Linked DNA regions of Drosophila melanogaster. The protein of the gene in region 2 purifies or fractionates together with the protein of the main gene of each other region. This does not show direct contact. Each region holds a gene or a part of one and is shown on either strand. Other genes may lie near its edges. The genes, in order: sol and CalpA.

The links.
Region 1: the proteins of CalpA (region 2) and sol purify together in Drosophila melanogaster (affinity purification with western blotting, with the first as the bait; one study listed by BioGRID). This does not show direct contact.

What each region holds. Positions count from the first base shown.
Region 1 is NC_004354.4:21,347,889-21,354,193, reverse strand, and holds the start of sol (small optic lobes), read right to left. Parts: upstream 3,915-6,305; 5' UTR 3,586-3,914; coding exon 3,344-3,585; intron 2,560-3,343; exon of another isoform or gene 2,433-2,559; coding exon of another isoform or gene 2,428-2,432; intron 2,335-2,427; coding exon 1,709-2,334; intron 1,442-1,708; coding exon 529-1,441; intron 101-528; coding exon 1-100. Other genes in the region: peng (penguin), read left to right, coding at 4,443-4,888, 5,490-6,192, 6,261-6,305. UniProt on the Drosophila melanogaster protein: Has a role in eye development. Calcium-regulated non-lysosomal thiol-protease.
Region 2 is NT_033778.4:19,423,561-19,431,064, reverse strand, and holds CalpA (Calpain-A), read right to left. Parts: upstream 5,953-7,504; 5' UTR 5,827-5,952; intron 5,032-5,826; 5' UTR 5,021-5,031; coding exon 4,847-5,020; intron 4,719-4,846; coding exon 4,674-4,718; intron 4,436-4,673; coding exon 4,259-4,435; intron 4,198-4,258; coding exon 4,121-4,197; intron 4,052-4,120; coding exon 3,927-4,051; intron 3,865-3,926; coding exon 3,744-3,864; intron 3,688-3,743; coding exon 3,447-3,687; intron 3,389-3,446; coding exon 3,158-3,388; intron 3,096-3,157; coding exon 2,703-3,095; intron 2,640-2,702; coding exon 2,521-2,639; coding exon of another isoform or gene 2,481-2,520; exon of another isoform or gene 2,015-2,480; intron 1,829-2,014; coding exon 1,786-1,828; intron 1,728-1,785; coding exon 1,586-1,727; intron 1,528-1,585; coding exon 1,300-1,527; intron 1,243-1,299; coding exon 913-1,242; intron 852-912; coding exon 766-851; 3' UTR 501-765; downstream 1-500. UniProt on the Drosophila melanogaster protein: Calcium-regulated non-lysosomal thiol-protease. Involved in the organization of the actin-related cytoskeleton during embryogenesis.

The DNA.
Region 1 (6,305 bases), on a different chromosome or scaffold from region 2:
AGCTGCTCCTACGGCTGCAGCTATAGCTCCAGCTGACGCGGTCCCTGCTGCTGCGGATGCGGCTCCTGATAGGCGGCTGCTGCTCCCTGGATCATGCATACTGCAAATCGAAAGCAAGACCATCAATTGTAATGCAGTCAAGTTCAAAATTGATTCAACACGGGAGATAGGCGAAATCAAAATGTAATTAAATTGAACACTTGAACCACAGATTGTCATAGCCGAGATCAGCACGATTGCGAATGAATTAATTACCTCAACCAAGTTGTGACAATCTTGTGGCAAGCCAATCATTAATTTAAATCATGCCCATAAACAATTTGCTTAAATAATACAACTGAACTTATAGCGGGCAGAATAAAAATAAAAGCTGGTGGACGGGCGAAATACAAACAGAAGGCCGCAGTGACTAAGCGCCACGCAAATTATCAGCAAAAATAAAAACGTAGCCAACTGATAAGCTTCTGCGGGGGATAGGAAGTTGGATGGGTGTGGACTAATCTCGGTCGCACGCTAGCTGCCAATTACATTTTCGACTCGGTCGCCTTGCGCGGTCCCTTCCACACTTTGGCGTAGATGGAGTGCTCCTCCACCTGCGACTCGGATTCGCTGGCCTCGCCGCTGCCATCGGTGCTAGTGCCTAGTCCGGCGGTAAGGGATTCACTGACCGCATCCGCGATCTCGCCACTGCCAGTGTTGTTGTTCGTTTGCGATTCGCTGGCAATCTGTTGCTTCTTCTTGAGCTTGTGCTGCTTGTTCACCTGCGCATAGATGGGCATGGTAGCCGTTGGAGCTGGTTCGGCCATAGCCTTAGCTGATGGCGAACTCGCAATGGCCACCGCCGTCGCGGCTGCCTGTGCCGCCTGCGCAGCAGCTGCTCTTAGTTGCTGCTGGGCCAGGGCCACGCATTCGTTCTCATACAACTTGTTGCTGCCGCTGGAGCTGCTGCTGTTGTTGTTGATGATGTTGCTGTTACCGCTGCTATTGCTATTGCTGTTGCTGTGATGGTGATGATGATGGTTGGAGCTAGAGGAGACGGAGGAGCTGCTGGCCATTGGCTCCGACCACTCGTTGACGGCTATGAAGACGCCGTTCCGCGGAATGGTGAACTGCGTGGGATTCATACTCACTGCTGCTGGCTCCCGCTGGGTTTTCCGCTGCAGCTGCTGCGGATTAGCCGGTGACTTCTGCTGCGGCTCCTGCTGTAGATTCAGATTTAGATTAACGACCTGACGCAGTGGCTTCATTTGGCCATGGCCGGCATCCTTGGCCGCCGACCGAGAGAGCGTGGTGATGGTAAAGTTGTACTTCCGCTTGGCACCGCTCTCGCGAACCACCTTGTGATTCTGGTTCTTGTTATTGTTGTTCTGTTTGCGCCTGCAAAAAGTGTCGTTGGCGATGGCAAAACGGGAGTTGCTGCAGGCGGCCACGGGGGGAATCCCTGCGAGAAACACATAGGGATTAGAATTGGATTATCGGATAACAAGTGCGTGCATTCCGGTTATGGGAAGCTAACACTTTCATCATGATCTGACTAAGATTAAGAACTTTACAAAAAGAGAATAGACTTTAAATAATTCGGTTGTCCATTTAAAGAGTTTCTTCTAGTAAAAATTTGGAAACGATAGGCTGGCCAATAAGAATACCTTATAGTTATTTCCTCAAGTAACCTTTAACCTTTCATTAGTTCGTTAGCTGATGAACGCACCTGTCAGCTGCGGCGCCGGCTTGATCTGCGGCAGATTGAAGATGTCCTTGCTCTGGTTGTTCGCATAGCAAATGTGGCAGCTGCGCCCGGAAGCGCTCTTGTCGATAGCGGTGCTCAGGCTCTGGGTGCGGCGCAGTCCAGAACCCGAGCCCGGTCCGGATCCCGATCCGGATGCAGATCTACCTTTGAGGTGGCGCTTATGCAAGTGCTGGGAATGTAACTGATGCTGATGCTGCTCCTCCAGTTCCTGGTGGAGGTAGTGGTGATGATGATGTGGATGTGAATGGTCCGCCGCCAGCAGCTCGCCGCGATTGCCCAGGCTGCCAGCCAGATCCTGGCCTCGGTCGGCGGCGATGGCGTCCTTGTAAATGGGCGCCAGATAGCTGACCGTGTCGCAGATGAGGCAGTGCCAGGTGACCGAGCTGTTGTCCGTGCCGCAGGCGTGGCACACCCACCGCCGATTCAGGGCCGGATTCGAGAAGTGGCGGTACAGCTCAATAGAGCTCTTGATGTACTTGCGCGTGTCCTCGCAATCCACGCAGTTGGCGGGCAGATTCTGGCTGTTCCGCTGTGGTCTTTTCAAGCATCCGCGCAGCAGGGACTTGTACACATGCTTGTACTCGCTCCTGCAAAATAGGGAAATGGGGTTTTTCGTTTTTCGTCGGGTTTGGATGGGATTCGGTGTTCTTGAGCTGTTTGGGCTTTCCCCACTTCCTGACCGCAAAGGTTATCTCAATGACTGGCCATTTTCCTACTCTCCGCTCGTCCGCTCGACTCGGAAGTTGTTCCTACACCTCTTTTGCTCTTCAGATCGCCGAGCGAGTTCGCGAATCGATAAACTTGTAAACAATGCTTCTTTATCCAAATCGATTTTCCCCAATTCTCGCTGCTCCTCGGCTGTTTTGTTGTTGCTTCTGCCTCTGCTGTGTATACATGCTCTCACATACACACACTCGCGCACACACACACACACACACACACACACGCTCAGGGACAATCACCAGTGCCGACGGCTTGGCTTTTAAAGCTAGACTTTTGAACTGTGTACTTGTACACACTGTACCTTTTCCTAGCCTTTCGAAACTTAAGTTCGTAATATAAAAATCTTTCAACTTATTCCTATACTCCCATTCGAGTTATTCCTATGGATAGTTAATCAGGATTTTCCTAACCGATTTCATTGTTTTCTTATTCTTTAAGTTTCATTATGCACAAAAGGGTTAGTGAGAACTATAAAATTTACTAAGATTTACTCGGTCTGCTCTTTGGATATTAAAGTTCAGCATAGGAGCTTACGTTGGTAAGCTTTTGGTATTATTATTCTTTGAAAGTTAAGGTTTTTGATTGACGAATTTTACCGATGAAAGTATGTACATATTTGTGTATTTGTATATTTTCCAAAGTGTGCATACAATGTGTGTGCGAAAAAAGTTGGATTTGAAAACGCCACCGATTTCTATACACATTACCATATGCGACATGATTTTAGCTAGCGCTTTTGTCCTCCAATTGGATGCCACCACTGGCGCCCACATACACACACACACACACGCATACAGACACAGACACACACAGGCACATCCTCGCAGAGGAGGCATACAGGCTGTTTGTTTTTGTGGCGACCGCTTCGCTTACCTGGCAACCGCCGCCCTGCCCTTCTCCTTGTCCCTCTCCTGCCCCTTCTCCGCCTGCTCCTGCTCCAGTGCATCATCAGCTGTCCAGGAGGCGGTGATGCTGCTGCTGCGATGCTGCTGCTGCTGTTGTTGGGGGAACACCTTGCGGACGGTGCCGCAATTGAAGCACTTGAGCGACTCCGTGGGATTGATAGTGTTACATTTGGTGCACGACCACTGCAGCACGGATGAGATGGTGCCCATTGCGCGGGGGAGTCGCAGGAGTTCCCAGATTCCTTTCGACTTCTGAGTTGTTTCTCTTGCTGTTGTTGTTTTTGTTGTTGTTGGCTGGCTGGCGGGGGAGTGGATGTGGAACTGGGACTGTCTATGGAAACTATGATGTGTAGGTGCGCTTTCGAGCTGGTGGCCGGGCGGAGATGGAGATCAATAGGAGGACCAGAACCCGGGACCAAAACGAGGACCAAGCAGTGGCTTCCAACAGTTGCACGCCGCGTTCTCCGTCGCCGTTTCACACCATTTTTTAACTGTTGCCGCTAGGGTTGTCGACGTTCGCGAACACCTCCAACGACAAGGTTGCCCGAGTGCGTGAACTCTGCCGGACAGGGTTGCCAGCGCGAGAAACACGGCTGCTACCCCGCAAAGCCAGTGTTGGCAAGTGCCGTTAATGAAAAATCGGTACCTTCAATTTTTAGACCAATTCTAATATGTTTTTGGGAATGAATACATACATATATTCATAAAACGACGCAAATACATGCATAAAATTATTTGACCTTCTATAACAAGTAATCAACATTGAGGAGCTTAGTTTAGGAAGAGTTTAAATTTAATATTTAGACATGGATTATTATTTTTTAGCCGCTTTCAAATGGAAAGTCAAATTGAACTGAACGCATTAACTTGAGTTAAATTTTAAACAAATAGAAGCACTTCATTGATACTTACTGTATGTGGAACGAAAATACCAGATTTTGGTATTTACACAGCTTGGGTATACTGCAACAATCTGGTCACTCTGCATCAGCAGCACGTGTAGTTCGCTTTTTTGGCAAAAACATTTGCTGTTATTTAGTTGTAGTGTCCAAGAAAACGCAGCAAAGATGGTTAGCTCGGAGCCGAAAGGACCTGCTAACGTGGCCAACACGGCCTCGCCCCTCAAGGCCCATGAATCGTCCGGCAAGCGCGCCAACGGACAGAAGTTTAAGCCCGGTGGAGCAGGAGGCGCCAGGAAGTTCGACAAATTCGGCGGAGGAGCAGGCAAGTCGTTTGTAAAGCCAGGCGCTGGTGGTGCCAAGAAGTTCGACAAGTCTGGGCCCGGTGGCTTCAAGAAGTTTGACAAATCCGGAGCCACCGGCGACAAGAGGCTTGGTGGCAACAAGTTCCGCGGAAAACCACAAACACAGCCACAGGCGCCGGCGGAGGGCGAGAAACAGGACTGGAACAAGTTCAAGAAGGAGAAGAAGGACCTCAAGCTGAAGCGCAAGAGTGCCAAGGACACCTACGAGATCAGCAAGGAGGCCAACCAGATCCACGAGAAGTTGCGATGGTGAGCATCCCCAAAAACACGATGAACAGCCCAAACAATCGGTTATTATCATCCTTAGCGCTCAAATTACCTATACAAATTATGATAGCTCAACAAAATCGGGCTCTTTCATGCACTTATGTACATTCAGAACGTACAAAGTTGTTTAAATTTCATAAGGCATCAATCTATACGATATAGTTTTAATAATTATAAGTCATTTTGGTTCCTTAAAGGACAAGATATCGATAAACATGGCCATGTGGATCCCAAAACGAAGCACCTGTTCGTGGAAAAACCGAACATTGCCACTTGGTTCGAATTCAAAAACACCAAACATTTTATTCATGTTCTTGAAACAATAATAGCTAGTTAAGCATTTTGATCAGTATCAAAACTAAGTTAATATAGCCTTGTATTTCTGTATAAATGTTGAGTTAGAACCAAGAGCGTAGATTCCAAAGACGCCTATTTAGCGCATGCTGTTTTGTTTGGTCATAAACAAACCAGCTCTATCCTCTGTCGCGTTTTTTTTTTTTTTCGTAAAATTACAACTAATGAATGCGCAAATCCTATTGCTCTGATATATATATATCAACATAATTTGGTGCTTGTCTTGCAGCCGCCGAACGGAGAACAAGGACAAGCTGGTGGAGCAGATATACAAGGTGCTCAACGTGGGCGACACTATTTCAAAGGTGGTGAAGGCCCACGACACCGCCCGCGTGATCCAGAGCATGCTAAAGTACGCGTCGCCAGCTCTGCGGGCCGAGATCTCTGAGAAGCTGCTTCCCTTCACCGTGGAGATGTGCCAGTCGAAATACGCCCAGTTCTGCGTGCAACGGATGCTCAAGTACGGTGCGCCAGCCACCAAAGCCAAGCTGGTGGACAGCCTGTACGGACATATAGTGCGTTTGGCCGGACACAGCATCGGCAGTGGGCTGCTGGATTCGATGTATCAGAGCGCCACACCCAATCAGCGCATCTATATGCGCCAGGAGTTCTACGGCGATCTGTACCGGAAGGCCAAGGATTCGAATGTGAAGACTCTGAGCGACACCTATAAGGAGGCCACGAACATGAAGGCCTCCATTTTGGGGTCGGTTAAAGCAAACCTGGATCATGTGGCCAACAAGCAGCTGGTGGACAGTGCGCTGGTGCACGCCGTGATGCTGGAGTACCTGCGCGCCTGCGACGAAGATGAGGAGAAGCTGGAGGAGACGGTCACTGCGTTTGCGGCTCTAGTGCCTCACATGCTGTCCACCAAGGAGGGCAGCGAGGCGGCTGTTATATGCTTCTACAAGTCGACGCCCAAGAATCGCAGAGTAAGTGGATCACGTATAACGTGTGTTGATGAAACAGAATCTTATATGTATTCTAACCCCTTCTTCAGGCCATTATCAAGAATATCAAGGAGCACCTGCTAAAGATCGCCAAC
Region 2 (7,504 bases):
ACTTAACGATCTAACTACTGTAAATACTTAATATATATCAGAATATGTATATCCCACGAACTATTCAGCGGATAATTCGCTTATTTACGTACGGAATATACATAGCTTTGAACATACTTACTCACTAAAAAGTTTGACGAGACCCCAACTCGGCCGGCCGCATTCTCACATCGTCATGTAGTCAAAATAATTTAAGAAACAAAGACACGTTTTTGATTGAAGATGGCTAGTAATAGTAATTTATAGATAATCTACTCGATCTAATACAACTAAAAATTAAATTCATCATCAATTCGGGTGTGTTTTAAGACATTTATATTGTGATTTATAGTTTACCATTATAGGCTTTACTCGAAGCTAATTATTTTGGTGCAAGGTTCAATCACAAAAAATAAAAAGATTAACTAAACAAAAAGCGTTGTTTCTTTTTTTCAGTTATTCGTTGAATCCAAAGAAGGAACATTTTTTAATCGTCCCCATAAATAAACATCTTAGAAAATACGGGGTATGGAATTCTTTAATAAGTTAACATCGGCTCACGTTACAAATGCAAATGTAATAAATCTTTTTATTGGGTCAACAAGTCATTAAATTCGGTAACAACACCCATCGACATACAAACAATGACGTGATTATATTGGATGAAATCTTTTTCGGAAGTGAAGTTTGTTTTGTACTATATAAAGAAAAATATTGGATATAGCCATTAAGAGATTCCATGTAAATATTTGTTCGAGTTGATTTGCTAGCTTAGATTTATATCCTTTACGAATATATTGTGCGCTCTATCCACTCCTCCAACGTAAAGGTGGCTGTTTCGTTCTTCTCGGTGTCGCGCTCCTTGAATATATCTACAAGAAAAGTTTACCATAGAATTTTCACTTTTATAAATTAGAACCACATTCACATTACCAATATATGTCTTGATTTTAACAGCGCACATGATAAAATCATCGAAGGCTATTTTGCCATCACGAGAACCATATCGATGGCCCAAAACATTTAGAACACGATTGTTTAGATGATAGCCAGCAGAGTTAAGAGCTTCGCGAAGCTGGAATCCGGATACCCTGCCCGTATTCTCAACATCATAGACCTTAAATATGGCCTTCCATTTGGCAATTTCCGAGAGCAAAGTCTCGAACTCCTCGAATCCCAGCTTTCCAGACTTATCAGCATCCAACATGGCAACCATGGAGCGGCAAACATCCTTGGAAAAGCCATGAGTCTCATCCACAATTGCTGTAAAAATTTCTTTGTATTCTAGTCTTTTTTAAAAGCGTATATATATCATCTTACCATTTGCTGTTACAGGACCTCCATCCGCCGGATTGTCCCCTATCAGCCTCTTGTTCGACTGATCATTCATTCCCAACTGCTCCTCGAATGGCGTACCCTTCAAAAACGGTCCACAAATCAAGGATAAAAGTCCACAAGCGCCAGCTCCATCGTCACCAGGGCCAGCAGCCTGGGTCTCAAAGGCCATGTTATTGGAGAAACGGTTGAAAACCACTGGTTTGGGTAAATCTGAAAGGAAATCGTTGTTTGAAAAGCCATTTGAGTAGTTTTTAATCTCGAGCCTTACCGTCCCTCATCGAATGGTCCAAAATGCGTTTCAATTCCATCCAATCCACCTCCATGTCCTTGCCGGCAATGCTGTCGAAGAGGCGTCGCAAGCCCTCCTTCTGAGGATCGATGGGCTTGGGTGTTGGGAATCCTGGCGTAATCTTTAAAGCGAAATTTCTGAATAAGCGATCCCGATCCCATTGACCACAGTTAACTTACCGTATCGGCTTTGCCGCCATAACCCACATGATCATCATTCTCTCTAGATGGGAGTGAAAAGCGAAATGATTGATATTGAAATGAATGGAAAACAATTCGTTTATAGAGAAACAAATGGAATACAATACAATTTACAGTACAAGGATTTCGAATGGCCTAATGAGTATTGAGAAGCAGATTTTCAAGATGAGCTTAATTTGTTGGGGTCCATTTTTAAAAGTATATTGTTGTGGAAGTTTCCTTTATTATTACTTTAATAAATATCTCGTTACATGACAAAAATACAATTTAAACAAGGGTTAAAAATAAACCGAAAAATTTAACTTTGTTAATAGATTTCACTATGTTGCTGCCGCCACCCTTTTTATAACTGATAAATTAAGAAAATTGAACTTCATATTGATCAGAATTATTCTTAACATGTAACAGACAGACCGACATTACATTTGAATTTATCTAGAAGAAATATATTTCGAGTTTCTGGAATACTGCAGGCGTTAATCTCAGGTAAAAATATATATAAGAGGAGTGATTAAAAAATGGCATAACCAACTTATCTGTCAGGAATGTGTAGAGGGTAAAGAAACAAATCTAGTCAAACATTTACTAGCACTAGAGATTAAAGAATACTATAGTCACAACATACCACATATTGCACGTAAGAAGCTTTTAGTTATAGAAACCCCTCATTATTTCTAATATACAAACTCATTGTCATTGTCTACTTGTACGCACTCCATGTTATTTTGAGTTTCTGAGAACACTCGAATGATGAACTCTCCCTCCTCGTTTGGATCGAAAGTTGAAGGCACAATCAGGTAGTGACCAGGAGGCAATTTGAAGCGAGCACACACCTAAATAAGAAACGCATATGTTAAGTGATTGCAGCCATATCCTGGATATATCCGTATACGTACTTCGCGGGTGTTGATAAAGTGCGGCGATCTTCCCACAGAAGACTTGTATCTGAAAAAGTTCAGACCCTGGGGACGGTTTTCCAGTTCGCGATCATTAAGGCTATAGATAGCGAAACCAATGGTCAGACACTCCATTCCCATATTGCGCTTCGATCTGCGATTCTTTTGCATTAAGGCCACGATGACGGTGCACTGTCCCTCTTCGTCTTCCTCATCAGGATCGACTAGGGTGATAATATACTGGGGGTTGTGCCAGAAGGTATCCAGGAAATTGCGGCAACCACCAGCTGTAACACCGGGTGTCCATTCTCCCTCATACATGGACATCTCCCACTTTCGCTTGCCACTGTTTTGTTGGTCCTCGGTCAGTGAGTCCGGCGACAAATTGCAAATCTGAACAAAATCATGGCGAATGAATCATGAAATATTTCACCAAGAAATATTAATAGTCCTACCTCCACGCGATCGAAGTGGTTAAGAAAATCTTGGAAGGACATCCAGAACTCTCCGTCTCTGTCGAATGTTAGTCCAATCTCCGCCTTCTGTTCCTCGGGTATATAGCGCCATTCTGGTGAGCTATCACTCCATGGTCCATTCCACTCGGCTTCATTGCCCCAAGGATTTCGCATTCTTATCATAGGGATCTTTCCCTGACGATTTGGCGTTACTATGTCAATAAGGCAAACCTGTTGACATAAGATTAATTAATAAAATGTTCTTATCATAGCAATTTTCCGAACAAACCTTGGTTATGGAGTAAGCGTGACCACGGATTAAGCCCTGAGGAGTTTCTGCCTCCGTGACATTTGGATCAGGCTCAATCGAGCATCCCATCATGGAATTGCGTTCAGCTGCTTTTTGCAGAATGGTGAATAGATTGCCGGGTGCTTCTTTTAAATCGTACCACTCGGATACGCCGCCAGTAAAGTCCTCCATGGCCTCGCAAGTGCTGCCTCCCTTTAGTGCCTCGTAGGATCCATGAAGTCTAGAAAGCATATATACATCAGTTGACCATAAAGTATGTGAATAATGTAGTCCTACTTGGCATAAGCCTTCTCCAGCAGGGCGCTCCAGAACTCGTTCTTCTCCGTGGAGTGCATGTACATCAGCTCTCCATTATAAGTGGGCAAACGGTCATCAATGATTACATCAACCCATTTACCTTAAAATTTTAAACTAAAATTGTAAGAAGCGCATGAATAATTTTTTTAATAAATAATTTACCATACTGCCAAAAGCGGAAATGGAAGATACCAGCATAGTTCTCCTCGAAACTCTGTTCCGCTGGAATTACCCGAAAGAAAAGGTTGGATTCCTGAGTTAAATTGGCTGTGGCAGCCAAGAGCCAACTGTAAATGTAAGCATTTATTTAAAACTATTAATTATTCTGGCTGCGGAAATAGAGATTTTGTTCTTACCAGTCACCAAGCTCGCCTTGCTGAACATCAAAACGCGAATAACCCTCCACAAAAAACTGGGGATTCTCGGCAATTTCCTTTATAATTAAAGCATTTATACCTTTAGTTACGGGTAATATGGTAGTATCTAAAACTTACATGAGGTCTCAGCCATTCGATGTGACGATCTGGACGCCGGGAAAACTGAAGAGACTCGTTCGAAGCCGGAAAAAGTGGATCTTCGAAAAGGGAACCACTGGCCAGGCAGCTGTTCAATATTGTCTCATAGTCCTGCACCTCGGAATAGGGTCCCAGGCTCGAGCTCTTCTCTCCCAGCTAAAAAATACATGCTATTAGTGATATGAATCTAACAAAATTGATGAACTTGATTAAGAGTATTATGTATGTACACGATAAAGTTGTGTAATGGAGTTGTATAAACGATGATGCGTTTTACACTTTACATGCGAAAGAAAAAGAACACAAGGACAACACAGTACGACACTTTGGCAGCGCATTATCCTTGGAATGGAATTATGTCAATGCCATTACGATGACGGGAGTAGGTACTTACGTTCCCATAGTACAACGTACTATTACTTTGAGATTGCAATGGTTGCTAATGAGTGGAATGTATATGTATTTGTTAACATGCATATGTAGATTTCAATGGATTGTTTTCTATGTTTGTTTAGTATAGTATAGCGCCCTATAAATAACTGTTGATAACCGTGTGGGTCAACTTACAACTCTCATATTCTTGATGCTGGGCAGAACCCTCTTGGTGTCGGCCTCCTTCTTGATGAAGATCTCGTTGATCACCGATCCGACCACATCCTTGGCCGCTCCCATTGCAGCCTCACCAGCTGCATTGAGGAACTCCTGTCCCGCTTGCCTCAAGAATCCCCTCAAGTCGTCCATCGTGCAGATATCTGAAAATATATGTACATATATAGTTTAATATCAGTTAGCAGTGTAAGGTGCCGCCTCAGATTAAAAACCCATTAATAAATATTTATTGTTCAAACATTTGATGACTAGTTAGCAACATCCAATATTTTTTATATCGCCCATATTTACTTATAAGCCTCGCGGTGGAATTAAAAGCACACCCAGAGACATAAATATGGTTTAACGAGCATTACAGAATCGTTAGTATTCCCAGTGTGACTGGAAGTCGGGCTAAATGAAATTACTTTAATTCACGCAAACTGAAATTATACTTTGGAGACAAGAATGTCTCGGTTCGCACCCAAATATAATTCAAATGTTTCTACATATACAATGCTGTATTTATACATATGTAGCCGCTATATATATATGCTATATTGTGTGACATCATTCGGAAGCATGAGATTCTCTAGTGACTCAAAGGGTGTGCGCCATTCGGGAGATTAAGCTTCGTTTTTTATCCATATTAAGCCGGGATATTGACATTGACCCATGGAACTACTACATATGTACGACACATATAGGGTATATATTTCTGTGACAATAGTAAATTGGCCTTTAATTGGGGCGAAATATGCTAGATTGGCTGACCCATCTGTTATTGTATTTGCGAACATTGGTAATTCTACGGCGAAACCCAAACAGGTTTGGTAATTAATGCATTCTTCTGGCCTGGCTCATTCCCGTGACCACCATATTTTCGTAAAGAATAGTATATTCGTCATAGGCACTTGATATTTCTAATACTATATATATTTGCCCATTTTCCAACGGACCTTGATTGGTCGAGAGAACGATTTCCGAATCGAATCACGCACTTTCACTCCCCAAAATCACAGCACAACAATAAAGTAACGGAACCACGCACCTTCACCGCACGGAGATATTTACTCACTACAAATATTTATATCTGTAGCTCAACACCTGACTGCTATCGAATGTTTTGGTATTTATTTTTATCGAAGTATTTTGCCGAAATTTGTGATTTGCCAGCCCTATTTCAATGTAAATATATCGATAATCGCCCGATTTTACTGAAAAATATTTCGATAAGAGCATCGATATTTCAAACAAATATCGACCCATTGACATGCGTCAGGTTTGTCCATCCCTAACAAAATCGTAGTACGAAATATCGAAAACGAAACACATCACGCGGGCGAAATTTCGTGAAGTTCAGCATTTACAAATTGTAAGCAGTGGTTTTATCGAACCCATTGACCAATTAGTGGGCTTCTAAAATTAGTGATAGACTTTATTAAATGAAACGAGAAAATAGAGGCGAATACACCCGTACAGCAAATTGACCATCGATTTTTTCACGGCATTGCCGGTGACGAGAATGCGACGCCGTTCATACACACACACGCACGGACACGAATGTGTGTATATGGCGCGGCGCTTGTGTGTGAAAGTGTATTCGTATAAATAATATGACATAATCGACGTGTGCGGCTTAATTGACATAGTTTTTGTGCGAAGAATACCTAAAAGTGCGAAGAGAGCGCCAAAAAAGGCGTTTTTTGTTTGTGGTCAAGGTGGCAAAAAGGACTTGCACCGCTATTTTCCCCTGCGCTTTGCTCCAAATATTCGTTCCTCCCCATACACTCTCTCGCACACACACAAGCGTGTATATTTGGGCGTTGCAGGATGAAGAACTCTCTTTCTCTCTCCCACTTTCCTTCGCTCTCTTCTCGTATTCTCTTGAACACTTTTGCGCAATTTGAGTGATTTGCAAGGCAAACTAATGCTTTTCGATTGTTTACCGAATTTAGTTAACCCCGTTTGGAAGCCAGTTTGTCTGGAAGTTACTTCAGTTTAGTTGTTTTCAACATCTCCACTTGACGTTGCCTAACACTGCCCGCCCTCTCTCTCTCGGCTTCTTTGCCACTGTCCGTGCGCAGTTCTCTTTTGCGCTTCATTCGTGCTCTGCCCGTCGGACGTGTCCGTACGATTTTGGATTAAGTTCTCGTAGGCAATTCAACTTGAAATATTTATTCGCTGCGGTGCAACTAAAATTTAATTCAAAGAATTAAAAGTGCTAAGTGCTGTTAGGAGCGGCAATTTTGCAAAAAAAAAAATATTAACAGTTATTTGGTGTAGTGCAAGAAGCCCAAAAGAGAACAAAATTATTTATTTTAAACATATTGCATTCAAGGCAATAAAAAGTTAAATCTATTAAAATTTTCTACCCTCTCCCTCCCCTTTTATTGATAGTCTCCCTCTGTGGCGTATGTGTGTTTGTACGAATTAGCGGCTGAAAACCAAAAACCGAGGTGCGAGAGCGAGAATACATTTATAAAAAACGCGTGCGTTTCTCCTCTAACACATACAGTGAGTGTGACCGTTGTATTTGTGACCTGTGCCTGTGTTAGCGGCCACTGGAGGATCAACGAATTTAAAAGAATACTAAAAGTACCGGTGAGTATTCTTGCATCTACCGGATGATGTGTT